Anolis sagrei: one gene and its partners. The protein of the gene in region 2 interacts with the protein of the main gene of each other region in a biochemical or structural test. Links are inferred from orthologs where the notes say so. Each region holds a gene or a part of one and is shown on either strand. Other genes may lie near its edges.

The links.
Region 1: the proteins of FGFR1 (region 2) and FGF8 interact in a biophysical measurement, tested with the Homo sapiens proteins (2 studies listed by BioGRID and IntAct, with this or other methods). The link is inferred for Anolis sagrei from reciprocal best matches to the Homo sapiens genes FGFR1 and FGF8.
Region 3: the proteins of FGFR1 (region 2) and FGF9 interact in a biophysical measurement, tested with the Homo sapiens proteins (2 studies listed by BioGRID and IntAct, with this or other methods). The link is inferred for Anolis sagrei from reciprocal best matches to the Homo sapiens genes FGFR1 and FGF9.
Region 4: the proteins of FGFR1 (region 2) and ANOS1 form a complex in vitro, tested with the Homo sapiens proteins (3 studies listed by BioGRID and IntAct, with this or other methods). The link is inferred for Anolis sagrei from reciprocal best matches to the Homo sapiens genes FGFR1 and ANOS1.

What each region holds. Positions count from the first base shown.
Region 1 is NC_090023.1:216,673,808-216,681,321, forward strand, and holds the start of FGF8 (fibroblast growth factor 8), read right to left. Parts: upstream 3,193-7,514; 5' UTR 2,741-3,192; coding exon 2,709-2,740; intron 2,525-2,708; coding exon 2,488-2,524; intron 1-2,487. UniProt on the Homo sapiens protein: Plays an important role in the regulation of embryonic development, cell proliferation, cell differentiation and cell migration. Required for normal brain, eye, ear and limb development during embryogenesis.
Region 2 is NC_090027.1:2,236,286-2,244,481, reverse strand, and holds the start of FGFR1 (fibroblast growth factor receptor 1), read left to right. Parts: upstream 1-5,032; 5' UTR 5,033-5,128; coding exon 5,129-5,219; intron 5,220-8,196. UniProt on the Homo sapiens protein: Tyrosine-protein kinase that acts as a cell-surface receptor for fibroblast growth factors and plays an essential role in the regulation of embryonic development, cell proliferation, differentiation and migration.
Region 3 is NC_090023.1:28,766,436-28,774,159, reverse strand, and holds the start of FGF9 (fibroblast growth factor 9), read right to left. Parts: upstream 3,167-7,724; 5' UTR 1,922-3,166; coding exon 1,630-1,921; intron 1-1,629.
Region 4 is NC_090023.1:94,145,564-94,152,682, forward strand, and holds the start of ANOS1 (anosmin-1), read left to right. Parts: upstream 1-4,061; 5' UTR 4,062-4,303; coding exon 4,304-4,516; intron 4,517-7,119. UniProt on the Homo sapiens protein: Has a dual branch-promoting and guidance activity, which may play an important role in the patterning of mitral and tufted cell collaterals to the olfactory cortex. Chemoattractant for fetal olfactory epithelial cells.

The DNA of each region.
Region 1 (7,514 bases), on a different chromosome or scaffold from region 2:
CCGTCCAGCAATGATTTTGCCATGACCCAGATCTGTTTCTCTCCTCTGGCAGCCCAGTCTTAGGAGAATTCTTCCATCCCTTCTACATCTCCAGTCTCCCTTTCAAGTCTGGAGGGCTTTAGTTGGCCCCTGACATTTATAAAGATGTATTCTGAGCAAATGTGGTGGAGATTTGCTCCTTTCAACCACATGGGGTGGCATTGCATGAAGTCATCTCCCCCCCCCCCCCCCCCCCTCAAAGCACTGGCTGGATCACCTTCAAGCCTCTACATCAAATGCTAAGGTTCTTCCATACTGATGGGAAAATCACCCCCTCCTTGAATCTGGAGTTTATAGAGGGCTTCCCTTGACAATTCACCTCTCTTTTCCTTTTGTGTGTGTGTGGAAAAGTGTGTGCCAAACACGTTTCCTATAGACGCTTTTGATAATATCTCTGGATTCCCTTGCTAGCTCTGATGAGGGGACCATGTGGATAACCAAACAGCCCCTTTGACTTCCACCCGATAGCCACAAATTATTCCAACACAGTTTTTACACAAGTCCCTTTCATTCAGAGCCATCTTTGTTACATACTCAGGCTTATAGAATTAGAAGGTGATTGCAGATTTAACTCAAAATCTTACACCTGTTCTTGTTCTCTCTCTCTTTCTCTCTCTCTCTCTCTTTGGTGAGGGTTGTTTTCCCCCTTTGTAAGCATTTGCCTTCTGCTCTCTGCATTTGCAATCAATATTGCAGCAGCAGGAATAGAGATTCCATAGGATCACTTCTAATTTCTAGAAAACACAAATGAATAAAACCAAGGTGTTTGATGCTGTTGTTTTTTTAAAAATGAAAATGTCTGCCTATTATATTGATTTCTTAAACTTTTAGGAACTGAAGACAAGTGTTTACCATTTTAAGGGCAAAGTTTTTATTATTATTATTATGATTTATTATTTCTCCTATTTATACATTGCTTTTCTCTACCCCAAGGGGAGCTCAAGGCGGACTTACATATGGCAATTATCCAAAGCCTTGCAACGCATACCACATTAAGCTTAAAATCCATTGAATTAAAATTAATACATATTAAATTTTAATTCAATATTTAAAATTAATTAATTAATTAATTCAAAATTAAATGAATCAACATTTATTTTTTATCTTGTATGTTCCACATCTATCTATCTGTGTTGGGGAATCTTAGGGCCCTTCCACACAGCTCTCTGTCCCAGAATATCAAGACAGAAAGTCCTACAATATCTGCTTTGAAATGGATAATCTGAGTCCACACTGCAGTATATTCCAATTCAAAGCAGTTAACATGGGTTATCTGCCTAGATATTCTGGGTTATATCGCTGTGTGGAAGGGCTCTTAGACCCCTTCCACACAGCTTGAATAAAATCCCACATTATGTGCTTTGAGCTGGGATATATGGCAGTGTGGACTCAGGGGTCCTTATTTATTTATTTATTTATTTACTGCACTTGTAGACCGCCGTTCTCAGCCCTAGGGCGACTCACGGAGGTCCTTCCACACAGCCCTATATCCCAGAATCTCAAGGCAGAAAATCCCACAATATCTGCTTTGAGCTGGGTTATCTGAGTCCACACATGGATAATGTGTGAATTTCTACCTTGATATTCAGCGATACTGGGCTGTATGGAAGGGCCCTATGATAACCCAGTTCAAAGCAGATATTGTGGGTTATTCTGCCTTGATGTTCTGGGTTATGGGGCTGTGTGGAAGGGCCCTGAGCTGTTAGGCTCAAAGTAACCCTCAGTAATAAATATAGCAAAAGTATTAGAAGTAAACTTCAAAACCCAGCAGAAACCTACAGTCAGATGAAGCTGGGATAAGCTTCTATTCTTAGGATGGCACAGGATGGCTGATGACCCTTCCACACAGCCCTATATCCCAGAATATCAAGGCAGAAAATCCCACAATATCTGCTTTGAACTGGGTTATCTGAGTCCACACTCAGGGCTCTTCTACACAGCCCTATATCCCAGAATATCAAGGCAGAAAATCCCACGATATTTGATTTGAACTAGTTTATTTGAGTCCACACTCAGGGCCCTTCCAAATAGCCCTATATCCCAGAATATCAAGGCAGAAAATCCCACAATATCTGCTTTGAACTGGGTTAATTTTGTCTACACTCTGATAATGTGCGATTTTCTGCCTTGATATTCTGGGATATCGGGCTGTGTGTAAGGGCCAAGAGTCAGAACTTTAACAACCTGCAATCTCGGGGTATTTTTGGACTGGCCAAGTTCTTATCTGGGTTGCCCCACAAAAATTTGCCTTCCCTTCTCTGCTGCGCCTTTGGTTCTGCACCAAACCGGTGCCTTCTAGCTTTCTCCGACTGTTTTGAAGGCCATCCCTTTAAAAGAAGAGGCGCTCAAGCGTCACCGTTGGCGGCGCGCTCGAAACAAACAAACAAACAAACAAACAAAAACAAAGCCAAAGAAGGCGCTTCAAAAAGTAATAAAGCCGTTCCTTACCTGTGCCTGCAAGCAGAAAGCAAACAAGTGCAGTACCCTAGAATAATAGGGAATGGGGAGGGGAAAAAGGGGGGAGGGAAAAAAACACAAAAGTCGATGGTGAGATGATTGGTTTTGTTGGGAACTTTTTGAAATGGAGAAGAAATATAAATGGGGGGAAAAATAATAATCAAGGAAGCTTGGAAAAGAAAGGAAAGCCGGGAGGAAAGAAGCCGACTTACAAATAGCTGAAGATGGAGGAGAAGAGATTCATCCTGAGGAGCCCGAAGCTGGAGAAGAAGGAGGAGAAGGGACCCCGTGTGGGAAGGGTGAGTGGCGGGGGTCCTTTGCGGGGCCGGCGACCTTTCCACGTTCCCTCCACGCCAGGCTCTCTCCTTGGAGCCCTCTTCCTCGGGCGGTGGCGAGGATTCCTCAGCGCCAAGAGGTCCCACTTGGTGGCCAGTCCATGCCCGAGGATGCTTGGAAAGGAGGGAAGGAGGCAGGAGAAGAAGATCAGGGCGCTGGCTGCGGAGGAGAGGAGCCCGGAGCCTTTGCCTTTGGACTGACAGCTCAAGGAAGAGGATGATGAGAGAGAGGGAGGAGAGGGCGAGGAGAGGAGGAGGAAGCAACGCCTTTGGAGAGGTTCCCTTGGTCTTGGCGAGGCTGGGGCGCACTGCGCGCTTCTCTCTCTGCCTCTTCCTTACCCTTTGCTTGGCTCTCTCTCTCTCTCTTTCTCTGTTCCTCCCTCTCTCTCCTGCTCTCTCTGCCTCTGCTTCTCTCTCTTTCTCTCGGAGGAGTGCGCCCCGGCCCGGCCCTGGTCCCTCCTCTTGTGCGCGCTCGCCAATGTGCCAGCCCCTTCCTTCTCATCTGTCCGGGGATGGCCTGCCTTCGCCCACTCGCTCCCCCAACCCATCCCACCCTATCCACACACACACACACACACACACACACACATCCCACCTCCAGTGCCTCTCCTGCCCCCCCTCCCCCCAAATGGCACCTTGGACAGTCTTCTTTCCACAGAGAGATAAACCCAATTTTCCTAGTTTCCAACAGACTTCACAATCTCTGAGGGTGCCTGCCATAGATGGAGGCGAAACGTCAGGAGAGAATGCTTCTAGAACGTGTGGCACCTTGGACAGTCTTCTTCCCACAGAGATATAAACCCAATTTTCCTAGTTTCCAACGGACCTCACAGCCTCTGAGGGTGCCTGCCATAGAAACAGGCGAAACGTCAGGAGAGAATGCTTCTGGAACATGTGGCACCTTGGACATTCTTCTTTCCACAGAGAGATAAACCCAATTTTCCTAGTTTCCAACAGACCTCACAACCTCTGAGGGTGCCTGCCATAGAAGCAGGCAAAAGGTCAGGAGAGAATGCTTCTGGAACATGTGGCACCTTGGACAGTCTTCTTTCCATAGAGATAGAAACCCAATTTTTCTAGTTTCCAACAGACCTCACAATTTCTGAGGGTGTCTGCCAAAGAAGCAGACGAAACGTCAGGAGAGAATGTTTCTGGAACATGAAGCACCTTGGACAGCCATCTTTCCATAGAGAAAGGTAAAGGTTTTCCCCTGACATTAGGTCCAGTCGTGTCCGACTCTGAGGTGTGGAGCTCATCTCCATTTCTAAGCGGAAGAGCCGGCGTTGTCCATAGACACCTCTAAGGTCATGTGGCCGGTATGACTGCATGGAGCGCCGTTACCTTCCCGCAGGAGCGGTACCTGTTGATATACTCACTTTTGCATGTTTTCGAACTGCTGGGTTAACAGAAGCTGGGGCTAACATCAGGTGCTTGCCCCCGCTCCCTGGATTCGAACCGGCGACCTTTTGGCTAACAAAGCTAGACAGCTCAGGGGTTTAACTCACTGCGCCACAGAGATATAAACCCCGGTAGGCTGTTAGGAATGGTGGGAGTTTAAGTCCGAAACCCCTGGAGGGCCGAAGTTTGCCCATGCCTGGGTTAAACCTCTGTGCCGGCAGGACTGCTGACCGACAGGAGCTCCCTGTGTCAGCTCCAGCTCCCCATGCGGGGACATGAGAGAAGCCTCCCACAAGGATGGTAAAACATCAAACATCCGGGCGTCCCCTGAGCAACGTCCTTGCCGACGGCCAATTCTCTCACACCTGCAATCCTAGAGACCCCCAAGGGCCATCCAGTCCCCTGCAACATCAAAGCGCTTCAGACAGATGGACATCCAACTTCTGGTTTGAAACAGGCTGGATGTCCATCTGTCAGGAGTACTTTGATTGTACTTCGATTGAACTCCGCTATGCAGGACTAGATGCCCCATAAGGTCTCTTCCAACTTTATGATTCTGATTATTAGATTCTATACCAAGGAGGCAGCATATGTGGTGGAGGCTCCTTCTTTGGAGGCTTTGAAACAGAGGCTTGATGGCCATCTGTCGGGGGTACTTTGATTTTACTTTGATTGAACCCAATGGGGTCCCTTCCAACTCTATGTTTCCATGACTATTAGATTCTATGACAAGGAGATAGCATATTCCACTGCCGAACAGGAACTCCTCCCTAATTTTTAGGTGGAATCTCTTTTCCTGCAGCTTGGGTAGCAGTGGAACTCTCTGCCCCTTCTTTGGAGGCTTCTTTGGCCATCTGTTGGGGGTGCTTTGAATGCGATTTTCCTGCTTATTGACAGGGGGTTGGACTGGATGGCCCACGAGGTCTCTTCCAACTCTAGGATTCTATAATTCCCCACGTGTACACTTTCACCTTTTCGCCCTCCTCTCTCCAAAACACTGTTCCACCCAGGATGATGTGTTGGACGACTTTGAAGGCTCTGTGGGTAAAATAGGGAGGCTTTGTTGGGACACGAACAGGCAGGGGAAAGCCACGAGTGGGGTGTGAGCTCGCCCTGCCACAGTCGCGCCGGGAAGTGGGCGCCGAAACACCTGCCGCAAATGAAGAGACTCCGCGGGAAAGTTGCGCAAAAGCCTAGTCTCGCGTGTGCGCAAAGAGCGCGTCGGTGTGCTAAGTCAAGCAAACGCTCTGCCTCTTCCTTTTCGGGTCGGGATCCAAAAGAGCTGGGAAAAGGGAGCTGAAAGTGCGTGGGAAATGGTATCGTTTGCCTGCGAGAACGTGGCGCGTGGAGAAGAACACTTGGTAAGGAAAATGTGCGTCAAAAGGGATGCTTGAGCACAGCCACAACAGCAACAACATAGATCTATAGCAGGTATGGCAAACTTGGGCTCTCCGGGTGTTTTGGATTTCAACTCCCACCATTCCTAACAGCCTCAGGCCCTTTCCTTTCCCCCCTCAACCGCTTAAGCGGAAAAGGAAAGGGCCTGAGGCTGTTAGGAATGGTGGGAGTTGAAGTCCAAAACACTGCAGGGTCCAAGTTTGCCCATGCCTGATCTATAGGATACTTTGAAGTGTTGTGTGGTTTCCAGGCTGTATGGCTGTGTCCTAGCAGCGATTTCTCCTGACGTTTTGCCTGCATCTGTGGCTGGCATCTTCAGGATACTTTTCCTGAGAGATAAATTCAAAGCAAGAAACAAACCCACTCAATAAATAGCTAGCATATTGAAACAGACTAGAGCTTGAGTTGTTTATTTATTTATTTACAACATTTTATGCCATCCTTCTCACTTCGAAGGGGACTCAGAGCAGCATATAAATTATATATAAGAGGATTGAATAAAAAGTAATGCCTCCACCTTCGTAACTCCTCAACAGATGGCAGTACTGGTATGCAGCAGGTACTTGTTCAGTAGACTCTCCTCTACAGTTCCATTTGGGCAGGAAGCCTTAGTATTGAACAGTTGTGTTATTAAAGTGTGAAGTATGGAACCCTGCACAGAGAGTCGGTCAATGTGACTTAAGCAATGTGCAGTCATTGAATTCTTGACAGCAGAAGGTGTCACCTCAACATCTTTAAACTTACTCGCCCAACAACGCACAGTACTCACATCAACATAATCACCATAAACAGCTTGCATTCTCTGATGAATCTCCTTTGGGGTGACACCTTCTGCTGTCAAGTATTCAATGACTGTATATTGCTTAAGTCGCGTTGACCGATCGTCTATGCAGGGTTCTATACTTCGCACTTTAACAACACAACCGTTCAATGCTAAGGCTTCCCACCAAAATGGAACTGTAGAGGAGAGTCTACTGAACAAGCCAGTACCTGCTGCATACCAGTACTGCCATCTGTTGAGGAGTTACAAAGGTGGAGGCATTATTTTTCATTCAACCCTTGTACATACAATATATTATATTATTAGCGTAGTACAACATCATTATTATATATTACAATATTGTACTATACTATAATATTGTAATATTATTAGTAATATTACATGTAATATAAAATATATAATTATAATATTGTATTATTATTAGTAGTAGTATTACATTGTATTACATGATTGTTGTGAGTTTTCTGGGCTGTATGGCCATGTTCCAGAAGCATTATCTCCTGACATTGCACCCATGTCTGTGGCAGGCATCCTCAGAGGTTGTGAGGTCTATTGGAAACTAGGAAAATTGAGCTTATATATCTGTGGAATTCTTTCTCGCACCCCAGACTTTCCACAGATATATAAATGAAATTTTCCTAGTTTCCAACAGACCTCACAACCTCTGAGGATGCCTACCACAGATGCAGGCGAGAATGCTTCTGGGGCATGGCCATACAGTCCAGAAAACTCACAACAACTCAGTGATTCTGGTTATGAAAGCCTTTGACAATACAGAGTAGAGCTTGTGTAGAGAGCCAGCATGATGTAGTGCAGGGGTCCTCAAACTAAGGCCCGAGGACCAGATACTGCCGGCCGTCCAAGGTCATTTACCTGGCCCTTGTTCAGGGTGAACCTAAGTCTGAAATGACCAGAATGCACACAACAACAACAATCCTATCTCATCAGCCAAAAGCAGGCCCACACTTCCCATTAAAATACCAATAAGTTTATATTTGTTAAAACTGTTCTTCATTTTAATTATTGTATTGTTTTAAAGTGTTTTTTGCACTACAAATAAGATATATGCAGCGTGCATAGGAATTCATTCATGCTTTTTTTCAAAT
Region 2 (8,196 bases):
GACTTCAAATTTGTACTTTGAAGTTGCTTTTTAAAGACTTCATCACATTCCACTTCATCGCACTAGAGAAAAAAATTCCACTTAAAATCTGGTTTCTGCTCCCTGCAGAATTCTGGGGTTTGTAGTTTAGTGAGGCTGCTAAACTACAAACCCCAGAATTCTGCAGGATGCAGAAACCGAATTTAAAGTAGATTTTTTTTCTCAAGTGTGAAGAGGTTCTTTTGAAGCAGGGAAGTGTTTGGTAGAGTAGTGCTCAGTCTTACTTTTGAAATGAAATGGATGATTTCCTGGACCATTTTAAGACACTTTAGAAACACAAGGTTTGAATGAAAAGTAATGCCTCCACCCTCGTAACTCCTCAACAGATGGCAGTACTGGTATGCGGCAGGTACTGGCTTGTTCAGTAGACTCTCCTCTATAATTCCATTTTGGCGGGGAGCCTTAGTATTGAACAGTTGTGTTGTTAAAGTGCGAAGTATGGAACCCTGCACAGACGGTCGGTCAATGCGACTTAAGCAACGTGCAGTCATTGGATCCTTGACAACAGAAGGTGTCACTCCAAAGGAGATTCATCAGAGAATGCAAACTGTTTCTGGTGATTGTGTTGATGTGAGTACTGTGCATCATTGGGCAAGTAAGTTTAAAGATGTTGAGGTGGGAGCATCTGATTTGCGTGACAAAGAGTTGGATGTCCTGTGACAGCAACCACTGAGTTTCACAAACAAAAGGGTGACAGATTGATTCAGGACGATCGTCATATCACTCAGAGAGAAATTTCAAGCACAATCGGCATTTCACAAGAACGTGTGGGTCACATTATTGCTTTGCTTGGTATCGGAAGATCTGTGCATGATTGGTACCCAGGATGGGAGAACCGTGGGATGCTAGTTGTGGAAACAGCGTGTCGACTTCTTCTGTGACGGCTTCAGAAAACTTGTTCATCTTTGGCAGAAATGTATCCAATTGTCTGGAAATTATGTAGAAAACTGAATAGTGGTAGTTGAAGAGCACATTATAAGGATTCTTTCTGTGTTTCGTTTATTAAAATATTCCCATCCAAACCCAAGTAATGAAGGTTTTTTGTTCTGATTTGTGTGACAAACAAAGAGTTGGACGTCCCCTGACAGCAACCACCCAGTTTCACAAGCAAAAGGTTGACAGATTGATTCAGGATGATCGTTGTATCACTCAGAGAGAAATTTCAAGCATAATCAGCATTTCACAAGAACGTGTGGGTCACATTATTGCTTTGCTTGGCTATCGGAAGATCTATGCACGATGGGTACCCAGGATGAGAGAACTGTGAGATGCTGGTTGCAGAAACAAGAGTGTTGACTTCTTCCGTGACGGCTTCAGAAAACTTCTTCATTGTTGGCAGAACTGTATCCAATTGTCTGGTGATTATATGGGAAAGTGAATAGTGGTAGTTAAAGAGCACATTCTAAGGATTATTTCTGTGTTTCATTTATTAAAATATTCCCACCCAAACCCAAGTAATGGAGGTTTTTTGTTCTGACTTGCATGACAAACAAAAAGTTGGACGTACTGTGACAGCAACCACCAAGTTTCACAAGCAAAAGGTTGACAGATTGGTTCAGGACAATCATCGTATCACTCAGAGAGAAATTTCAAGCATAATCGGCATTTCACAAGAACGTGTGGGTCACATTATTGCTTTCCTTGGCTATCGGAAGATCTATGCACAATGGGTACCCAGGATGAGAGAACTGTGAGACGCTGGTTGCGGAAACAGAGTGTCGGCTTCTTCTGTGACGGCTTCAGAAAACTTGTTTATTGTTGGCAGAAATGTATCCAATTATCTGGTGATTGTGTAGAAAAGTGAAAACTGGTAGTTAAAAAGCATTATAAGGATTATTTCTGTGTTTCATTTATTAAAATATTCCCATCCAAACCCAAGTAATGAAGGTTTTTCGTTCTGACTTGCGTGACAAACAAAGAGTTGGACATCCTGTGACAGCAACCACCAAGTTTCACAAGCAAAAGGTTGACAGATTGATTCAGGACAATTGTCGTATCACTCGGAGAGAAATTTCAAGCACAATCGGCATTTCACAAGAACGTGTGGGCCACATTATTGCGGAAGATCTGTGCACGATGGATACCCAGGATGAAAGAACTGTGAGATGCTGGTTGCGGAAACAGAGTGTCGACTTCTTCCGTGACGGCTTCAGAAAACTTGTTCATCGTTGGCAGAAATGTATCCAATTGTCTTGTGATTATGTGGAAAAGTGAATAGTGGTAGTTAAAGAGCACATTCTAAGGATTATTTCTGCGTTTGATTTATTAAAATATTTCCATCCAAACCCAAGTAATGAAGGTGGAGGCATTACTTTTCAGTCAACCCTCATACCTTGACATTCTGTTACCACTAAGAAAAAAAAAGGCATAGCAATGAGCAATACAAACAACTGATTGCAACAGGTTAACATTTCTTAATCCAACAGCCTTAATTTCCAAACAGGTTTCGAGGTTCCTTGAAACACAAAAGAATCATAATACTGTATATTTGAATGTAACAAGAAGCATCCACATTGTCAAATTAGTGCAGTTTGACATTGCTTTAACTGTCATGGCTTAATGTTATGGCATTCTGGGAATTGTAGTTTGGTATAGCACCAGCTCCCTATGGCGGAGAAGGCTAAAGTTTGTAAAACTACAACTCCTGGGAATCCATAGCACTATTTATTTATTATTCGTGTCATCCGCAACCAGAACATTGTATTACATTTCTAACAGAACAAAACAAACAAACAGATAAAAAAACAACACAAAGTTTGCAAGCTTGGTAGCTGATTAAATGTCCTTTGAGCAATATCTGGCCCCTTGGAGTGCCTCTGGTGTTGCCGCAAGAAGGTCCTCCATTGTGCATGTGGCAGGGCTCAGGTTGCATTGCAGCAGGTGGTCTGTAGTTTGCTCCTCTCCACACTCGCATGTCGTGGACTCCACTTTGTGGCCCCATTTCTTGAGGTTGGCTCTGCATCTCGTGGTGTCAGAGCGCAGTCTGTTCAGCGCCTTCCAAGTCGCCCAGTCCTCTGTGGGCCCAGGGCGGAGTCTCTCATTTGGTATCAGCCATTGGTTGACGTGCTGGGTTTGAGCCTGCCACTTTTGGACTCTCACTTGCTGGGGTGTTCCAGCGAGTGTCTCTGTAGATCTAAGAAAACTATTTCTAGATTTAAGTCGTTGACGTGCTGGCTGATACCCAAACAGGGGGTGAGCTGGAGATGTCTCTGCCTTGGTCCTTTCACTATTGGCTGCTACTTCACGGAGGATGTCAGGTGGTGCCTGTGTCATTTCTCCAGTGGTGTAGGGCGCAGGCACTCCGTGATAATGCGGCATGTCTCATGAAGAGCCACATCCACTGTTTTAGCGTGGTGAGATGTGTTCCACACTAGACATGCATACTCAGCAGCAGAGTAGCCAAGCGCAAGGGCAGATGCCTTCACTGTGTCTGGTTGTGATCCCCAGGTTGTGCCAGTCAGCTTTCGTATGATATTGTTTCTAGCACCCACTTTTTGTTTGATGTTCAGGCAGTGCTTCTTGTAGGTCAGGGAACGGTCCATAGCACTGAGTCATGGCAGCTAAAGTGGTGTCAAACTGAATGAATTCCACGCTGCAGATGCCTCCCCTTTTTACCTCTGTATTGGAAAAAGAAGGGAAAGGGGGTTACCCAAACCTAAGAGTGACTGATCCTCGTGCCTGGATTGCTAAATTATGTTTTAATGTTGCATCTGTGATTCATACTGGATTGCTTCCACCTCCTGAAAAAAATGCACTTCCTGCCTCTGGAATTACATTTTCTGGGGGTGGAAAGCAAATTAGAATGAATTCCTTTCTCCTTTGTAGTATTTAAGACCGTGTTTCTTAACATGGGGGTTGGGACCCCTGAGGTGGGTCGTGAGGGGGTGTCAAAAACATCACCAAAGACCAGCAGAAAACACAGTATTTTCTGTTGATGATGAGGGTTCTGTGTCGGAAGTTTGGCTCAATTCTATCCTTGATGGAGTTCAGAAATCTCTTTGATTGTAGGTGAACTATAAATCCCAGGAATTATAACTCCCAAATGTCAAGTCTATTTTCCCCAAACTCCATCAGTGTCCACATTTGGGCATATTGAGTATTTGTGCCAAGTTTGGTCCAGATCCATCATTGGTTGAGTCCACAGTGCTCTCTGGATGTAGGCGAACTACAACTCCCAAAACTCAAGGTCAATGCCACCAAACCCTTCTAGTATTTTCTCTTGATCATGGGAGTTCTGTGTGCCAAATTTGATTCAATTCCATCATTGGTGGAGTTCAGAATGCTCTTTGATTGTAGGTGAACTATAAATCCCACAAACTACAACTCCCAAATGTCAAGGTCTATTTTTCCCAAACCCCACTGGTGTTTCCATTTGGGCATATTGAGAATTCATGCTAAGTTTGGTCCAGATTTATCATTGTTTGAGTCCACAGTGCTCTCTGGATGTAGGCGAACTACAACTCCAAAACTCAAGGTCAATGCTCACCAGTATTTTATGTTGCTTGTGGGAGTTCTGTGTGCCAAGTTGGGTTCAATTCCATCATTGGTGGAGTTCAGAATGCTCTTTGATTGTAGGTGAACTATAAATCCCAGCAACTACAACTCCCACAGGACAATATCAGTACCCTCCCCCAATCCCACCAGTATTCAGATTTGGGTGTATTGGGTCTTTGTGCCAAATTTGGTCCAGTGTATGAAAATACATCCTGCATATCAGAGGTTTACATTACTATTCATAACAGTGGCAAAATGGAACTAATGTTATGGTTGGTGGTCACCATTACACGAGGAAGCATATTGAGGAGTCGTGGCATTAGGAAGGTTGAGAACCACTGATATAGATGGTTGACAATGTAAACATATTGGGGAGAATGGAGCTTGGGAAGAATAAGAACTTTTGGCTTCCTGACCCTTCATTCTGCTTTTCTCTCTTTGTCCCCAGTGTTTGGATGCCTCTGCCCTGGAGAGCAAAGAGCTGAGCAGATCCAAGCGAGAAGAAGTCCATCTCCCGTTTGCCCATCGAGGCCCAAGGTCCAAGTCCTCATGGAGTCCGGGAGCAGCGTTTCCAACCTGTAGCCACAGATCTGGGATGTTGACGTGGAAGTGCCTCCTCCTTTGGGCTGTGCTGGTCACAGCCACACTGACCACTGCAAGGCCAGCGCAAACCCTGCCAGAGCAAGGTAGGAACAGAAGTATTGGGGTGCCGTTTGGTTTCCAAGCCGTTGATGAATTGGAGTGATTTCAGGCTGCGTGTACGGTCACAAGAACACATTTTTTGCAGCTCTCAAGGGATGCTCAAGTGCAAATATGGCTAGGTCTACATTGCCATATAATCCAGTTTCTGAATCTGTTTTGAACTGGAGATTCCACCTGAACATGAGGAAGAACTTCCTGACTGTGAGAGCTGTTCAGCAGTGGAACTCTCTGCCCCGGAGTGTGGTGGGGGCTCCTTCTTTGGAAGCTTTGAAACAGAGGCTGGATGGCCATCTGTCAGGGGTGATTTGAATGCAATATTCCTGCTTCTTGGCAGAATGGGGGTGGACTGGATGGCCCATGAGGTCTCTTCCAACTTTTGGATTCTATGTTCAGCAGTGGAACTCTCTGCCCCGGAGGGAGTGTGGTGGAGGCTCCTTCTTTGGAAGCTTTTAAACAGAGGCTGGATGGCCATCTGTCGGGTGATTTGAATGCAATATTCCTGCTTCTTGGCAGAATGGGGTTGGACTGGATGGCCCATGAGGTCTCTTCCAACTTTTGGATTCTATGTTCAGCAGTGGAACTCTCTGCCCCGGAGGGAGTGTGGTGGAGGCTCCTTCTTTGGAAGCTTTTAAACAGAGGCTGGATGGCCATCTGTCGGGTGATTTGAATGCAATATTCCTGCTTCTTGGCAGAATGGGGGTGGACTGGATGGCCCATGAGGTCTCTTCCAACTTTTGGATTCTATGTTCAGCAGTGGAACTCTCTGCCCCGGAGGGAGTGTGGTGGAGGCTCCTTCTTTGGAGGCTTTTAAGCAGAGGCTGGGTGGCCATCTGTCAGGGGTGGTTTGAATGCAATATTCCTGCTTCTTGGCAGAACGGGGGTGGACTGGATAATGGCCCAGGAAGTCTCTCCCAACCCCCAGGATTCTATATGAGTCTACATTGCAGTATAATCCAGGCCCCATCCACACATACAATCCAGTTTATCTAATTTGAACTGGATTATGTGACAGTGTAGACCAGGCATGGGCAAACTTGGGTCCTCCAGGTGTTTTGGACTTCAACTCCCACAATTCCTAACAGCCGCTATCTGCTTTGCACTGAATTATGTGGAGCTGGATCCACATTGCCATATAATCCAGATTATCAAAGCAGATAATGCACATTGCTTGGTTTGAGCTGAATTATATGGGGCTGGATCTACACTGCTGTATAATCCAGATTATCAAAGCAGATAATGCACATTATTTGGTTTGAACTGAATTATATGGGGCTGGATCTACAATGGCATATAATCCAGATTATCAAAGCAGATAATGCACATTATTTGGTTTGAACTGAATTATATGGGGCTGGATCTACACTGCCATATAATCCAGATTATCAAGTCAGATGATCCACATTATCTGCTTTGAACTGAATTATATGGGGCTGGATCTACACTGCCGTATAATCCAGATTATTCAAGCAGATAATCCACATTATCTGCTTTGAACTGAATTATATGGAGCTGGGTTTACACTGCCATATAATCCAGATTATCAAAGCAGATAATGCACATTATTTGGTTTGAACTGAATTATATGGGGCTGGATCTATACTGCCATATAATCCAGATTATCAAAGCAGATAATTCACATTATTTGGTTTGAACTGAATTATATGGGGCTGGATCTACACTGCCATATAATCCAGATTATTCAAGCAGATAATCCACATTATCTGCTTTGAACTGAATTATATGGAGCTGGGTTTACACTGCCATATAATCCAGATTATCAAAGCAGATAATGCACATTGCTTGGTTTGAACTGCATTATATGGGGCTGGATCTACACTGGCATATAATCCAGATTATCAAAGCAGATAATGCACATTATTTGGTTTGAACTGAATTATATGGGGATGGATCTACACTGTGATATAATCCAGTTCAAAGCAGACAGTCTACATTCTATATGGCAGTGTAGCTCCAGCCCCATAAAATCCACTTCTAAGTAGCTAATCCCAATTCAGGAACTGGATTATGTGGCCGTGCAGATTGGACCTGTGTCTCTTTGGTGCTCTGTTTATATACAACTGTTGGCCCTTTCTACACTGTCATATAAAACCCAGATTATCTTCTTGAACTGGATTATATGGCAGTGTAGACTAATATAATCCAGTTCAAAACAGATAATGTGGATGGTTTACTTTGGATTACACGGCAGCATAGAAGGGGCCTGTGATAGAGATAAATGCAGTCTTTGGAATGATAGATATCAGTTTAGAGGTTTTGTGATGAAAGGTGTTGCTTCTTACTGCCTGGGGACATCCTTTGTTGAGAGGTGATTAGCTGTCCCTGATTGTTTCTTGTCTGGAGCTCCCCTGTCTTTATTTACTGTTATAATTTTAGAGTTTTTTAATACTGGTAGCCAGATTGTGTTCATTTTCATGATTTCCTCCTTTCTATTGAAATTGTCCACCTGCTTCTTGTGGATTTCAATGGCTTCTCTGTGTCGTCTGACATGGTGGTTGTGAGAGTGGTCCAGCATTTCTGTGTTCTCCAATAATATGCTGTGTCCAGGCTGGTTCATCAGGTGCTCTGCTATGGCTGACTTCTCTGGTTGGAGTAGTCTGCAGTGCCTTTCGTGTTCCTGGATTCGTATTTGGACGCAGCTGCTGCGTTTGGGGGTCCCTATGTAGCCTTGTCCACAACTGCATGGGATACAATATTTTATTTATTTATTTATTTCGGGTATTTCTACCCCGCCCTTCTCAACCCCCGAAGGGGGACTCAGGGCGGCTTCCAACTGGCATACATCTGGAATATTGTGTCCAATCCTGGGCACCACAATTCAAGAGAGATATTGACTCTAAGCTGGAATGTGTCCAGAGGAGGGCGACTCAAATGATCAGGGGTCTGGAGAACAAGCCCTATGAGGAGCGGCTTAAGGAACTGGGCATGTTTAGCCTGAAGAAG
Region 3 (7,724 bases), on a different chromosome or scaffold from region 2:
CGGGGAGGAGGGGAGGAGGGGCATCTCTCTGTCTCGGCCTTCTTCACAGCCCGCCCCACCCTCCAAGGAAAAGCAGAGGGACGTCCCCCGTCCCGACCCCCCCCCGTCCCCCCGTCCCGTCCCCCACGCAACCCGTCGGCTGAGGAGGAAGTTTCACCGAGTTGGGTCCAGCCTGACTCTTCTCTGCAGCAGACCCACTGGAATCAAATGGGAACTGGAGGTGACCAGTATCATCGCCCTCTGCAGATTCAACCCATCGCCAAGAAGGAAGTCAACACCTAACAGTGGGTCTGCCCTAGATGAGACCAGCATATTAGGCCAAGAGATCTATCTATGCCTGACTAACAGGGCATCCACACCGTAGAACAGGCATGGGCAGATTTGGGCCTTCCGGGTGTTTTGGATTCCAACTCCCAGCATTCCTAACAGCCTCAGGCCCTTTCCTTTTCCCCCTCAGCCGTTTAAGTCTGCCAAGGGGTGCCTCACCAAACTACAACTCACATGATTCCACAGCACTGAGCCCTGCCAGTTTGAGGCGGTGTCAATCTGCACTCACTCTACAGTGGAGATGCATCCAACCCCAGGGAGGTCAAGAGCATTTCTTTAGGAGTCTAAAGGTGCTCATAAAACTGCAGCTTCAAAATGGAAATATATAATAAGAGCGGAGGGTTCCATCCTAAAATTATTATTATTATTATTATTATTGCAATAGCATTATTATTGTTATAGTTTACTACTGATTGTGCATAACAAGCATGGGCAATCTTCGGCCCTCCAGATGTTTTGGACTTCAACCGGCTGTTAGGAATGGTGGGAGTTGAAGTAAGTTGAAATAAGACCAAAGCACCTGGAAGGGACTAAGTTTGCCCATGCCTGGTCCCTACACCCAAGCCTGGCCGCCTGCTGTGCATTTATTTATTATCAGAATTAGTATAAAACCGATAAAAATAGAAGGAGTGCAGGTGGCTAAATATCTTTGACCAAAAACGGGCAACAGCAACGGCATTGTCTGCAGCCTCCAACAATTCTGCCTCTGTACATGAGGCAGGGCATAGTGGACCAGTACACAGATGCGGAGTTGTCTGTTCTGCTCCACAGTGACACAAGGTGGGGGATTCTTTTGGGTTTTGCCAGGTTGTCCTTTGATCTGCCTACTCCACTTGTTCAGGGACTTCCAAGTTGCCCATTCGGGGGGGGAGGGGGGGCATCCAGTTGGGATTTCCTGGTTGAGCTGCCCAGAAGGATACCCTTGCTGTCGCTGGGGGGACGCCAAGAGGAGTGGTCGTTCTCATAAAGCCTTTCCTTGATTAGGGTCTACTGGGAGGAGACTGGTAGCCATGTAGTGGGTGGTTTTCACAGTGTTCAACCTTTTTTTTCATGTGCACTTACAGCTATGGATTTTTCCCCTTTGCTTCAAAAAAATGATGTCCCTGGCGCATCCCATCTGCAACTCCTGGAGGCTCCCTTCCCTCCCTTTCAAAGCTCTTCCACAACTATAACCGTGGACATGGACTCCCCCCCCCTCCTCCTCCTCCTCCTCCATGCCCTTGCCTCCCTACCAGAAGAGCCACCAACTTCTCTCCTGGCCCCCCTTTTCCCCCCGCCCTCCCCCTCCTGGCCCATACCTACCAAATCGGCTGTGGTCTTGCCTGGTGCCTTGGATGGTCCCATTGGGGAAAATCTCTAAATGGAAGCCAGTCCTGCAGTAGAGCTGCCTGCGCCTCAGGATGCCCTTTAAGTGGTCCAGGTCCGTCACGGCCGGCCCACGAGGCAGCCCCTCGGCCTGGCCCAAGTGGTCGCTCAGCAGGACCGGGCTGTCCGCCGGCAGGACCGGCATGTTCCCGAAGGGCGCCCCCGCCGCCGCTGCCGCTGCCGCATCCGGGACCCCGAAATAGTTGCCAACTTCTCCTAAGGGAGCCATGAGGAGGGGGAGGAGGAAGGAGGGAGGAAGGAAGGAAGAGGGAAGGAAGGAAGGAGGGAGGGAGGGGGGAGGTCCCTCGCTTGCAGCAAAACCGTCACGTCTGTGCCCAAGAGCCAGGACTCGCGGTTCTCTCCCGTTTCCCTTTCACGCGAGGAAAGGAGGCAAAGCAGGTTGCTGCGCCGCCACTCTCCCCTCCCACTTCCACGCCGAAAGGTGACTTCTTCCTTTAATCCATCAATGAGGATCAAGGCGGGGTCCTCCGAGGCCTCCTGCTCTCCTTTCCTGGCTGGGTCTGGGGTTCAAGGTCAACCCCTTAGGAAGCGCCCTCCGCCGCGGGGGACGCGCGTGGGCTCATCCTCCTCGCGCCCAGAGCCAGCGGAGAGAGATCCGGCTCGTGTGTTCCCCTGGCAGGGCTCCCTTCTAGCAAGCGGTCAGCTCTTCCGCCCATCCGGCCGTCATGAGGAGGAGCAGGGGGGTCCCGAGTTTCTCCGTGGGGCTCCGCATCGCAACTTCGGGGCCCTGAGGCCGAGGAGGAGGTGGAGAAGAAGGGGGGCGCATGGATCAGGGGCCGGGAGGAGGTGCAAGGGAGGGAAAGAAGCCTGGGAAGAGGCGCAGAGGCCAACCGGCCGCCCTCGGGGCTTCACGGGTCCGAGCCCCAGCCAAGCATGCGCTGTTTGGACTCTCTGCCCAGAAGGAGAGGAGGAAGAGGAGGAGGAGGAGGAGGCGAGGGGGGGGGGTCTCTCCCTCTCCCAAAGGACCCAAAAATCCAGAAAAGGGGCCGTTTGGTTGCTTCACTGCTTATTTATCAAGAAAGAACTTTTGACGTCCGGCTCTATGATCCAGGATCCTGAGGAGGCGGCTCGGCGCTTCAGCCTGGCGTGGATCCTCCTCCTCCTCCTCCTCCTCCTCCTCCTGTTCCACGCGAAGCAAGGCAGCCCTCCTCCTCCTCCTCCTTCCTCCTCCAGAGAGCTGCCGGTCTTCCCCGCTGGGCGCCCGTGCGGCGGAACAGGTGTAGGCAAGCTCTCCGCAAGGCTGCCTCTGCTGGGGCCGCGGCTGGTGCGGCGCCTTCTCGCTCTCTCGCCCGCTCTCCCTCGCTCTCTTTCTTCTCCCCCTCGGCTGTGTCTTTTCCATCCAAGCTCGCAGGGGAAAGTGGCGCAGGAAGAGGCATTGGGTTGGGTTTAAGGTAGTCCAGCTTGCGGGCGGGAGAAGGAGAGGGGGGGGGAGAGAAAAAAGGAGGGAGGGGAGGCCCAGAGGCTTCCCCCAGGTCCTAGCGCGCAACCTTCACCTGCGCAGCACCAGAGAGCCGCCGCCGCTCCCTCCCTCCCTCCCTGCTTCTCTCCTTCCCTCCGCCTCCTCCGTGACATCGAGTGGCCCGCTCGCTCTTTTTACTGCTCTGCGGCACTCCCGGCTCAGGCTCAGCCGCGGCTTGGGGAAAGAGGAAGAAAGGAAGGGGGGAAGCGCCAGGAACTTGGAAACGGAGCGACTTGTGGAACTGCAAAGATGCAGAATGGGGGGCAATGCCTGGCTCGAGAGCAGGCATTGGGGTCCTCGTGGACAACAAGTGAAACAGGAGCCAACAGTGTGATGCGGTGGCAAAAAAAAGCCAACGGGATTTTGGCCTGCATCAGTGTCTAGATCCAGGGAAGTCATGCTACCCCCCGATTCTGCCCTGGTTAGACCACAACTGGAATCACACAGTGTCCAATTCTGGGCACCACAATTGAAGAGAGATATTGATAAGCTGGAATGTGTCCAGAAGAGAGCAACTAAAATGATCAAGGGTCTGGAGAACAAGCCCCATGAGGAGCGGCTTAAAGAGCTGGGCATGTTTAGCCTGAAGAAGAGAAGACCGAGAAGAGACTTGTATAAATATGTGAGGGGAAGTCATTGGAAGGAGGGAGCAAGCTTATTTTCTGCTGCCCTGGAGACTAGGACGCAGAGCAATGGCTTCAAACTACAAGAAAGGATATTCCACCTGAACATTAGAAAGAACTTCCTGACTGTGAGAGCCGTTCAGCAGTGGAACTCTCTGCCCCGGAGTGTGGTGGAGGCTCCTTCTTTGGAGGTTGGATGGCCATCTGTCCGGGGTGCTTTGAATGCAATTTTCCTGCTTCTTGGCGGGGGGTTGGACTGGGTGGCCCATGAGGTCTCTTCCAATTCTATGACTCTGGTGCGAGAGAATTGGCTGTCTGCAAGGATGTTGCCCAGGGACTTCGGGATGTTTGATGTTTTACCATCCTTGTGGGAGGCTTCTCTCATTTCCCTTCATAGGAAGCTGGAGCTGACAGAGGGAGCTCTCACAAAGGGACCCGGTGCAAGGCAGGGTTAAACCAAGGGGCGATTTAGACCTACTGCTCCCCTGGACCTGAGAGTTGGGGCGGAGGGCCCGATCTGAGGCGGGCTTCCTCGGAGATCAAGCCCTCCCCACTTCCGAGTCCCTGCCCTGCCGCCCCAGACCCTGAACAGCGCCCACATACACTCCCAGGCGGGTTCATGGGGAGGAAAGCGCAGGTGGGCAGGATTCACGCCCCGAGAAAGGTCCGGCGCACGTGTTCCACAGGGAGGCGCGCCCAACGCGATCGACCCACGCGTCAAACCGGGATGAGAGGGGGACCTTCTCCGACACAATGCTCCCGGGATTTAGCGAAATGGAGAAAGAAGAGGCAAGAAGGGAAGGCGCAAGATGTCAACCCCGACAGGCTTAGTGGAAAGGGTTTTTTGTTTGTTTGTCTCTGACTCTGAAGAGCGGGGTTCGGATCCCCGCCAAGCCACAGAAACCCACACCGGGTGACCCTGGGCATGTCAAACATTTCTGCCCCAGGGCACACCAAAGCAAACGAGATCCAAATAAACCATGTCAAGAAAGCCCCGTGACAGATTCGCTTTTGGATCGCCATGAGTTGGAAATGACTCCAAGGCACATCACAAGGCTAGAAAACTACTTGAAAACATACAACCAACAACATTGTTCTGACCCACCAAGTGACATGTCCAGATGTGAAACCAGTGAGCCATTTTCTCTCCTGCATATCATCAGAAATTAATGGTAATCTTCCCCATTCGGCCATCCCTAAATTTGGGAAAGGAAGAGATTGGCAAAGAAAGGAAAAAATGAACTTTGCCTAACTCAGTGTTCCCAAGACCCACTGGTGGGCCACAAGACCTAAAATAAGGTCTACTGCGCCAGATTATTCAATATGGTCTTCTGTAGACAAGTAGATGGCAACTACTGGATGGTATATGTTCTGTAGAGCTGATGTTGTCTATCCAATGCAATTTTCTGAATCAGCACCCCAAATAACCACACCGAATCTAAAGTTTACCAAAAACTGATTCGTAACCCTTTTGGTACGAATGTTGGAGAGTGATCACTGGTCAAAGTGGTCCTGAGTCAAAGTGGTCCCTGGCCAAAGTGGTCCCTGGTCAGACTGGTCTCTGGCCAAAGTGGTCCCTGGTCAGACTGGTCCCTGGTCAAAGTGGTCCCTGGTCAGAGTGGTCCCTGGTCAGAGTGGTCCCGAGTCAAAGTGGTCCCTGGTCAAAGTGGTACCTGGTCAAAAAAAGGTACCAAGGGAACCACTGGCCTAATTGGATATGTGCATTATGTGCATTATTATCTCTGGCCCAACCCCTGTTCGAGTATCAGCCAGCACACCAGCGCCCTAAATCAAGAAATAGTTTTCTAAGTTCTGCAGAGATACTCTCTGGAACACCTCAGCAAGCGAGAGTCCAAAGTGACAGGCCTAAACCTAGAACCTCAATCAATGGCTGATACCAAATGAAAGACTCCCTCCTGGGCACATAAAAGACTGGGCGACTTGGAAGCCGCTGAACAGACTGTGCTCTGGCACCATGAGATGCAGAGCCAACCTTAAGAAATGGGGCCACAAAGTGGAGTCCACAACATGCGAGTGTGGAGAAGAGCAAACCACTGACCACCTACTACAATGCAACCTGAGCCCTGCCACATGCACAATGGAGGACCTCTTATAGCAACATCAGAGGCACTCCGTGGCCAGCTACTAGTCAAAGGACATTTAATAGAATGCCAAGTTTGCAAACTTTGTGTGTGTGGTTTTTTTAAAAATGCAATACAATTGTTTGGTTCACTCCTGACATGATAAATAAATAAATAAATGGTCAAGCAAGATCTGAAAAGCATACCTGGTACAGGTCAACTGCCAGAGTGAATGAATATGGACAGAGCCTGAGAACTTTACCTTTCTCCATGAGAACCTATCTACCACCAGAATCCTCTACTCTTCCTCCATGATTGGGAACCTTTAGATCAGGCCTGGACAAACATGGGCCCTCCATCCAAATGTTTTGGAGTTTAACTTCCATCATTCCTAACAGCCTCTTCCTTTTCCCTCTCAGCCACTTAAGTTGAAGAAAGGGCCTGTTAGGAATGGTGGAAGTCCAAAACACCTGGAGGTTCCAAGGTTGTCCATGCCTGCTCTTGAGATTGCAGTCCAATAAATACATATTTCCAAGTTCTGGGCTCTCAGGCCAATGGCACTAGATCTCTAAACTATAACCTCCATGAGAAGCTTTTTGACTATCCTCTGGTTAAGCCAGTGTTCTCAACCTTCCTAATGCCGCAACCCCTTAATACAGTTCCTCATGTTGTGGTGACCCTCAACCAGAAAATTATTTTTGTTGCTACTTCATAACTGTAATTTTGCTATTGTTATGAATTCTAATGTAAATATCTAATATGTAGGATGTATTTTCATTCACTAAACCAAACTTGGCACAAATACCTGATACGCCCAGATTTGAATACTGGTGGTGTTGGGGGTTAATTTTTGTCATTTGGGAATTGTAGTTGCTAGGATTTACAGTTCACCTACTATCAAAGAGCATTTTGAAATCCACCAATGATGGAATTGAACCAAACTTGGCACACAGAACTCCCATGAGCAACAGAAAATACTGAAAGGGTTTGGTGGGCATTGACCTTGAGTTTTGGAGTTGTAGTTCACCTACATCCAGAGAGCACTATGGACTCAAACAATGATGGATCTGGACCAAACTTGGCACAAATACTCAATATGCCCAAATGTGAACACTGGTGGAGTTTGAGGGAAATAGACCTTGAAATTTGGGATTTGTAGTTGTTGGGATTTATAGTTCACTTACAATCAGAGTATTCTGAACCCTGCCAACTACAGAATTGGGCCAAACTTCCCACACAGAACCCCCATGACCAACAGAAAATGCTGTGTTTTCTGACACTCTTTCACGAACCCCCCAGGTGTCCCACCCCGAGGTTGAGAAACACTGGGTTAAGCCTTGCATTTGGAAATGATTGCAGAAATTCCAGTGGTTCTTCTTGTTCACATTTGGGGGCCAGAGTTTGTTGTTGATGTGAACTGCCTCTTATTCTTGGTGACCCTATGAATGATAGACTTCCAAGTCATGAAGAGCCCTTCTACCATACCAAGCATTATTACCCTTTCTAGTGAGTCATCTCTTCTCAGTCTGAAGGCCTCTGACATTTCCAGATCTGAAGGCATGTGGATTCCAGAGGATCTGAGACTAAACACTGTTTCAAATTCACCCTTTTGAGACCATATCCTTGTGACCTCGTTGTATAATTGAGGGATTTAGTTCAATACTCTTGGGGATCCTGCATGATTTAAAAGGATGGTCTTGGTTCAGCTAAAAGTAGTCCATGGCAACTGCATTTTGAATCAGACATCCATGGGTGACCCTATCATTAGGCAGAGTGAGACACTTGTCTCAGGCAGCAGATGGTAGGAAGAGGCAGCAAGCTGTTGGGTGAGATCTAGGTGCCAACCAG
Region 4 (7,119 bases), on a different chromosome or scaffold from region 2:
CAGCGGCCTTCGATACCGTCGACCACGGTATCCTTCTGGGGCGCCTTGCGGAAATGGGTATTGGGGGCACTGCTCTGCAGTGGCTCTAGTCATTTCTGGAGGGCCGCACCCAGAAGGTGTTATCGGGGGACTCCTGTTCCGCACCACAACCTTTGACTTGTGGGGTGCCACAGGGTTCCATACTGTCCCCCATGCTGTTTAATATCTACATGAAGCCGCTGGGTGAGATCATCCGGAGTTTCGGGGTGCGGTGTCATCTGTACGCAGATGATGTCCAACTCTGTCACTCCTTCCCACCTGCTACTAAGGAGGCCGCTGTAACGGTCTGGATGAGGGCGAACAAACTGAAACTAAATCCAGACAAGACAGAGGTACTCCTGGTCAGTCGCAAGGCCGAACGGGGTATAGGGTTACAGCCTGTGCTGGACGGGGTCGCACTCCCCTTGAAGGCGCAGGTTCGCAGCTTGGGTGTGACTCTGGACTCATCGTTGAGCCTGGACCCCCAGGTTTCAGCGGTGACCAGGGGAGCATTTGCACAGCTCAGGCTCGTGCGCCAGCTGCGCCCGTATCTCGGGAAGTCTGACTTGGCCACGGTGGTACACGCTCTTGTCACATCCCGCCTGGACTACTGCAACGCTCTCTATGTGGGGCTGCCCTTGAAGACGGCCCGGAAGCTTCAGCTGGTTCAGCGCGCGGCAGCCATGTTACTAACTGGAGCGGGTGGCAGGGAGCACACAACGCCCTTGTTGTCCCAGCTCCACTGGCTGCCGATTTGCTACCGGACCCAATTTAAGGTGCTGGTTTTGGCCTACAAAGCCCTAAACGGTTCCGGCCCAAAATACCTTTCCGACCGCATCTTGGCCTACGAGCCCACGAGGACCTTGAGATCGTCTGGGGAGGCCCTTCTCTCGATCCCGCCTGCCTCACAGGCACGGCTGGCGGGGACGAGGGAGAGGGCCTTCTCGGTGGTGGCCCCCCGGCTGTGGAACACTCTCCCTGCACACATCAGACAGGCGCCTTCCCTCATGTCCTTTCGAAAAAGCCTTAAGACATGGCTGTTCGAGAGGGCATTTAATTAAGTGCTAAACAATACGGTAATGAGAACTGGAATGGAACAAGGAATATGAGACTGGCTATGATTCCACTAAGAGATGAAGCGGATTTTTAGTGTAGTCTGTAATTGTTGTATAGTTTATATGTTGTTGAAACTGGCTTTTTTGTAATTGTCTTTTATGTGTACTGTACACCGCCATGAGTCGCCCTTATGGGCTGAGAATGGCGGTTAATAAGTGCATCAAATAAATAAACAAATAAAATAAAGAAGTGGACTCCCTGAAGACACAGGTCTGCAGCTTGGGTGTGATCCTGGACTCATCGCTGAGCTTGGGACCTCAAGTTTTGGCGGTGACCAGGGGAGCATTTGCACAGTTAAAACTTGTGCGTTAGCTGCGCCCGTACCTTGAGAAGTCTGACTTGGCCACAGTGGTCCACGCTCTTGTTACATCCCAAATAGATTACTGCAACAAACTCTATGTGGGGTTGCCTTTGAAGACTGTTCGGAAGCTTCAAATGATCCAATGGGCGCAGGGCCATAGCCAGAAAGATTTTTTTAGGGAGGGTTGAAACTTTTTTTAGCAAATCATGAAGAGTAGTTCGATAACACAACAACATTTTTAATACAGTCCAAAGATCCTTATTGCTTCGTAAAAGGTAGAAGATACAAGGTATGCAAGGTTAGTAAGGGCAAAAATAGCCAAAACTGATTAAGCCACAAGATGTGGGTGGAATAAACAGCAGATAAAACCGATAAAACAAGGATTAAAACTTATAACCAGCATTTAAGATAGTAATGACCTAGGTAAAAGACTACAAAGGGTAACAGGCATGTTTCATCATGCCATAACATAAAATACTTTAAATTATATGGTTTCAATTATATTTTATATAGAGTTCATTAAATCAAATTTCTATTTTAGTTAAAGTTTCAAGTCTTAAAATAACTGAAAATGATTGCTAATTGATAATTTATAGTTACAAAAGAATACCACAATGTTTGTTAGAAACACTTGAAAACTGTGTCAATACACTTTGACAGAAATCAGGCTCTATTGATAAACTTCGGTGGACACTCAAGAGTACAAGTCCAGTCAGTCTTTCTTGCCTCCTTGTGCTTCTTGTGTATGTTTTCAAACGTTTAAGGGTTGAAAACGACCTTTCATTTGTAGCTGTTGACACTGGCAATATTGCAGAAATCTGAAAAAGTTTCTTCACATTCGGAAAAAACTGTCCGTCACAGACAAGATATGCTTCCAGTGCATTTGATGGTTTTTCTGCAGGTGCAATCTCATAGACTTAGCATGGAGATTTGGTTAGCCAGTTAAAATTCATGAGTAAACCAGGTTTTTTTTTCTAACCTGAAAAGTTTCGGGGGGGGGGGGATTGAACTCCTAACCCCCCCCCCCCCCCGGCTACAGGTGTGAATGGGCGGCTGCCAGGTTACAAACAGGAGTGGCGCACAACTCCTATATTGCGTCAACTACACTGGCTGCCAATTTGTTACTGAGCACAATTCAAAGTGCTGGCTTTAGCCTAAAAAGCCGTAAATGATTTGGGCCCAGCTTACCTGCTCAAACGTATCTCCTCCTATGAACCATCTAAGAGTGTAAGATCGCTTGGGGAGGCCCTGCTCTCGATCCCGCTTGCCTCACAAGTGTGGTTGGCAGAGACAAAGGACTGGGCCGTCTCAGTGTTGGCCCCCCGGCTATGGAACTCCCTCCCCAGGGATATTAGATCGGCCCCCTCCTTCCTGACTTTCTGAAAAAAAAGTAAAGACCTGGCTCTTTGAGTAAGCTTTTGAGATTGCAGCGGAATAGATAACACAGAACTATGAATAATGAACATAAAATAGCCAGACGATGTTACTGGATAATGTTTTTAACAGGGTAACACTGAATATTATATGCTTTAATGGTTTTTATATATGTTTTATATTGTAATGTTATTTTTAATGGCACTTTTATGAATTTCTGGCATCAAATTGTAACCCGCCTTGAGTTGCCATATGGATGAGAAAGGCGGGCTATAAATATCGTAAATAAATAAATAATAAATAAGTTTTCCATCCTCTGCTGTGGCCTCAGGTTGCATTAGGGCAGTGTTTCTCAATCTGTGGATCCCCAGGTGTTTTGGCCTACAACTCCCAGAAATCCCAGCCAGTTTACAAGCTGTTAGGACTTCTGGGAGTTGAAGGCCAAAACATCTGGGGGTAATAGTATGACAACTGGGTCCGGAAGCTCTGAGACGTACACTCTTTCCGCTTCGCTCCTTTGGGAGCGCTGTTTGCGCAACGCAGAACGGAAGACAGATATTATAGAAGGAATGTACAAATTCTTTAATGGTAAAACCACTAAGCCTTACCCTAACCCCTAAGCCTTACTCTAACCCTAAGCCTCACCCTACCCCAAACCCTAAACCTTACCCTAAACTTTATCCTAACCCTCCTCGCCTTTCTATCCTTCCACCAAACTGAAGTATATTCCTACCCTCAGTGTGCCGCTCTCCCCTTCCCTTATTCACAATGTGCATAACGCTCGGCGCTTCAGGCCCCAGCTCTCATACTATCACCCATCTGGGGACCTACAGGTTGAGAACCACTGTATTAGGGCGAGAACCAGTGGTTCCCAACTTTGGCCCTTTAGGTACTCTGAACTTCAGAAGCTTCAACCAGCTTGACTGACAGCCAGGAAGGTTGGGAGCTGAAGTCCGAAACAGACGCCGCTCAAAGTTGGGGCGCTCCCGCGAGACGCCGCCCTCTCCCCGGGAGTCTGGTCCGGGCAGGTGTTCCCTTGGGTTCCGCCGCAGTCCGCTCACGTGCGGCCACGTGAGGGGAAGTTCTGGCCCCGCCCCCGCAGGCAGCCCCTCCGCGCGCAGCCCCCTTCCCCCTCCCGCGGCGCCCGCGCGACCTCCCGTCCCGCCTGTCACTCGCGCCTCCTCCAGCCAATGGCGCCGCCTCCTGTCACCTTTTCCCCACCCTCCTCCTGGGAGAGGAGGGAGGGAGGGAGGGAGGCGGGGGCTTGGAGGGAGTTGAATGATTGAACTTTCTTTTTGGCGCGCCCCTCTTCTCCCTCACTCGCTCGCTCGCTCGCTCGCCTCTTCCCCTTCGAGCGGAGTTTCTGTCGTGCTGCTCGGCGAGGTGGCAGCGTCTCCTTCGCCTCCTGCTTCCTGAGGCGCCTCGGGCCGGCGTTTGCTGCTGCTGCTTCCTCCTCCTCCTCCTCTTCCTCTTCTTCTTGTCTCTCAGCGAGCCATGGGGCGGCGGCGGCGGGATCCCGGCGTGGCCTGGCCCCTTCTCCTCCTGGCCATGGCCTCCGGCTGGGGCTCCGGGGCGGGCGAAATGGCTCTTTCCCGGCGGCAGGACGACTCTTTCTCGGCGGCCGGCAGCGTCTCCGGCGCCCGGTGCGCCTCCCGGTGCCTCAGCCTGCAGATCACGCGCATCTCCGCCTTCTTCAAGCATTTCCAGGTGAGGCGGGAGCTCCCCGGAGGCCCAGCAAGTCCCCGCGAGTTCCCAGGGCCGCCTCTCCTCTCCAGGGCTCGCCGCACCTGCCGGAGTCCTTCGGGAGGAAAGAGGCGCCAAGGCCGGGCTTTGCGGGAAGCCGCTTGGGTGGCTGGGCTTCGACTGGGTGGCCATCCGTCGGGGGCGCTTTGATTGTGTCCCTGCAGGGCAGGACGGGGTTGGAGAAGGTGCCACTTGCGATCTCTTCCAATTCCAAAATCTGTCATCCCTGGGAGTTGAAATCCCCCAGACTTGGGACAGAAGTCCCCCAGAGGACTCGCTTGGGCCTTTGCCTTCAGCTCCTGCCGCTTGGCTTCGTCCTCCTGGGCAGGTCTTTCAAGGGACTTCCTCGCATTTCGGGTGGGGACACATCAGGGTTAGGCTTTTCCTCAACACGGGGAAGGGGCGGCGAGAGTGCAGCTCTGCCATCGAGGCCATGAGCTGGGTCTGTTTACCTTGGAGGAAAGAAGACTGAGAGGAGGAGACAGGAGAGCCATGCTTCAATATTTGGAAAGATATCACATTGAGGAGGGAGCAAGCTTGTTTTCTGCTGCTCTGGAGGCTAGCACAGGAGCAAGGGGTTCAAACCCAACATCTTCATTAATGACTTAGATAGAGGAAGGCTTAGAAGGCAGGATCATCAAGTTTGCAGACGACACCAAATTGGGAGGGATAGCCAATACCCCAGAAGACAGGAGCAGGATTCAAAACGATCTTAACCGATTAGAGAGACGATTGGTCAAAACTAACCAAATGAAGTTCAACAGTGACAAATGCAAGACACTCCACTTAGGCAGAAAAAAATGAAATGCAAAGATACAGAATGGGGGATGCCTGGCTTGAGAGCATTATGTGAGAAAAAGATCTTGGGGTCCTCGTGGACAACAAGTTAAACATGAGCCAACAATGTCATGCAGCAGCTTTAAAAGCCAATGGGATTTTGGCCTACATCAATAGGAGTCTAGATCCAGGGAAGTCATGCTACCCCTCTATTCTGCCTTGGTCAGACCACATCTGGAACATTGTGTCCAATTCTGGGCACCACAGTTGAAGAAAGATGCCAACAAGCTGTAATGTGTCCAGAGGAGGGCAACAAAAATGATCAAAGGACAAGCCCTATGAGGAACGACTTAAAGAGCTGGGCATGTTTAGTCTGCAGAAGAGAAGGCTGAGAGGAGACATGATGGCCATTTATAAATATGAGAGGGGAAGTCATAGGGAGGAGGGAGCAGGCTTGTTTTCTGCTTCCCTGGAGACTAGGATGCAGAACAATGGCTTCAAACTACAGGAAAGAAGATTCCACCTGAACATAAGGAAGAACTTCCTAACTGTGAGAGCTGTTCATCAGTGGAACTCTCTGTCCCAGAGTGTGGTGGAGGCTCCTTTGGAGGCTTTTAAACAAAGGCTGGATGGCCATCTGTTGGGGGTGCTTCGAATGTGATTTTCCTGCTTTTTGGTAGGGGGTTGCACTGGATGGCCCATGAGGTCTCTTCCAACTCTTTGATTCTATGAAGCTTTAGGGAAAGAGATTGAACATCCTTTCAGCTCCCAATATTTTTGGAAGCTTGTGTGACTCTGCATTAGCAAGAACTTCTTGAGGGGAGGAGCTGTTCGGTAGGGGAATGTGAGGAGTTTCCTTCTCTGGAGGTTTTGAAGCAGAGGCTGGATGGCCATCTGTCCAGAGGGCTTTGATGGTGTTTTCTGCATGGCAGAATGGGACTGGACTGGAAGGCCCATGTGGTCTCTTCAATCTGTAGCAGAGGTTTGAGCATTGGACAATTTTGAGCAGGGTTCAAATCCCCACCAGGCCATGGAAACCCACTGGGGGATCTTGAGCAAGTCACACTCTCTCATCCTCAGGCAAAGCCTCCCTCCCAAGCCTGCTCTGAACACATCTTCCCAAGCAAACCTCAGGATCTGTTCCCCCTCAGCATACTGGAGCAAAGCGTGACATCTGGAGATGTGTATTCATAAGGATGAAGGGAGAGTGTTTTGGCTACGAAGGTGATAGTTATTCACACAGATTAAATCACAGTTTTAAAAACTTGAAAACCTGAAGCAGTGGATCAAAGTTAAGCATCTTGGGGTTGCAATCCTGAGAGTAACTTGTACCAAACTCAGTGGGATTCCCTTCTGAGTAAGCAGTGACAGGATTGTACTGTTAAAAAAAATGATGTACCTGTTAACATTCATCTGAATGCAGAGCCTACCACTTATGCCTCTACATGGTCAGAATAGGAAAAAAAATAGGACATTCCAAAGATATATAAACCTCACTTGTGGGTGAAACATCAGGAGAGAATGCTTCTGGAACATGGCAATACAGCCCAAAAAGAACTCACAGCCACCTAGGAAAAGAGCCTCCCCCCCCAACAACAACAAAACTATTGATTTCATCTTTTCACCCTCTTCTTGCAGATTCATGTAAATGTTTTCCATCTTGTTAATACTCTGTATGGAACTGATGGATATTCTTCATTGCTTGTTTTATATATATACACACACACACACACATATATACGTATATGTATACGTATACGTATAGAGAGAGAAAGAGAGAGAGAATTGTC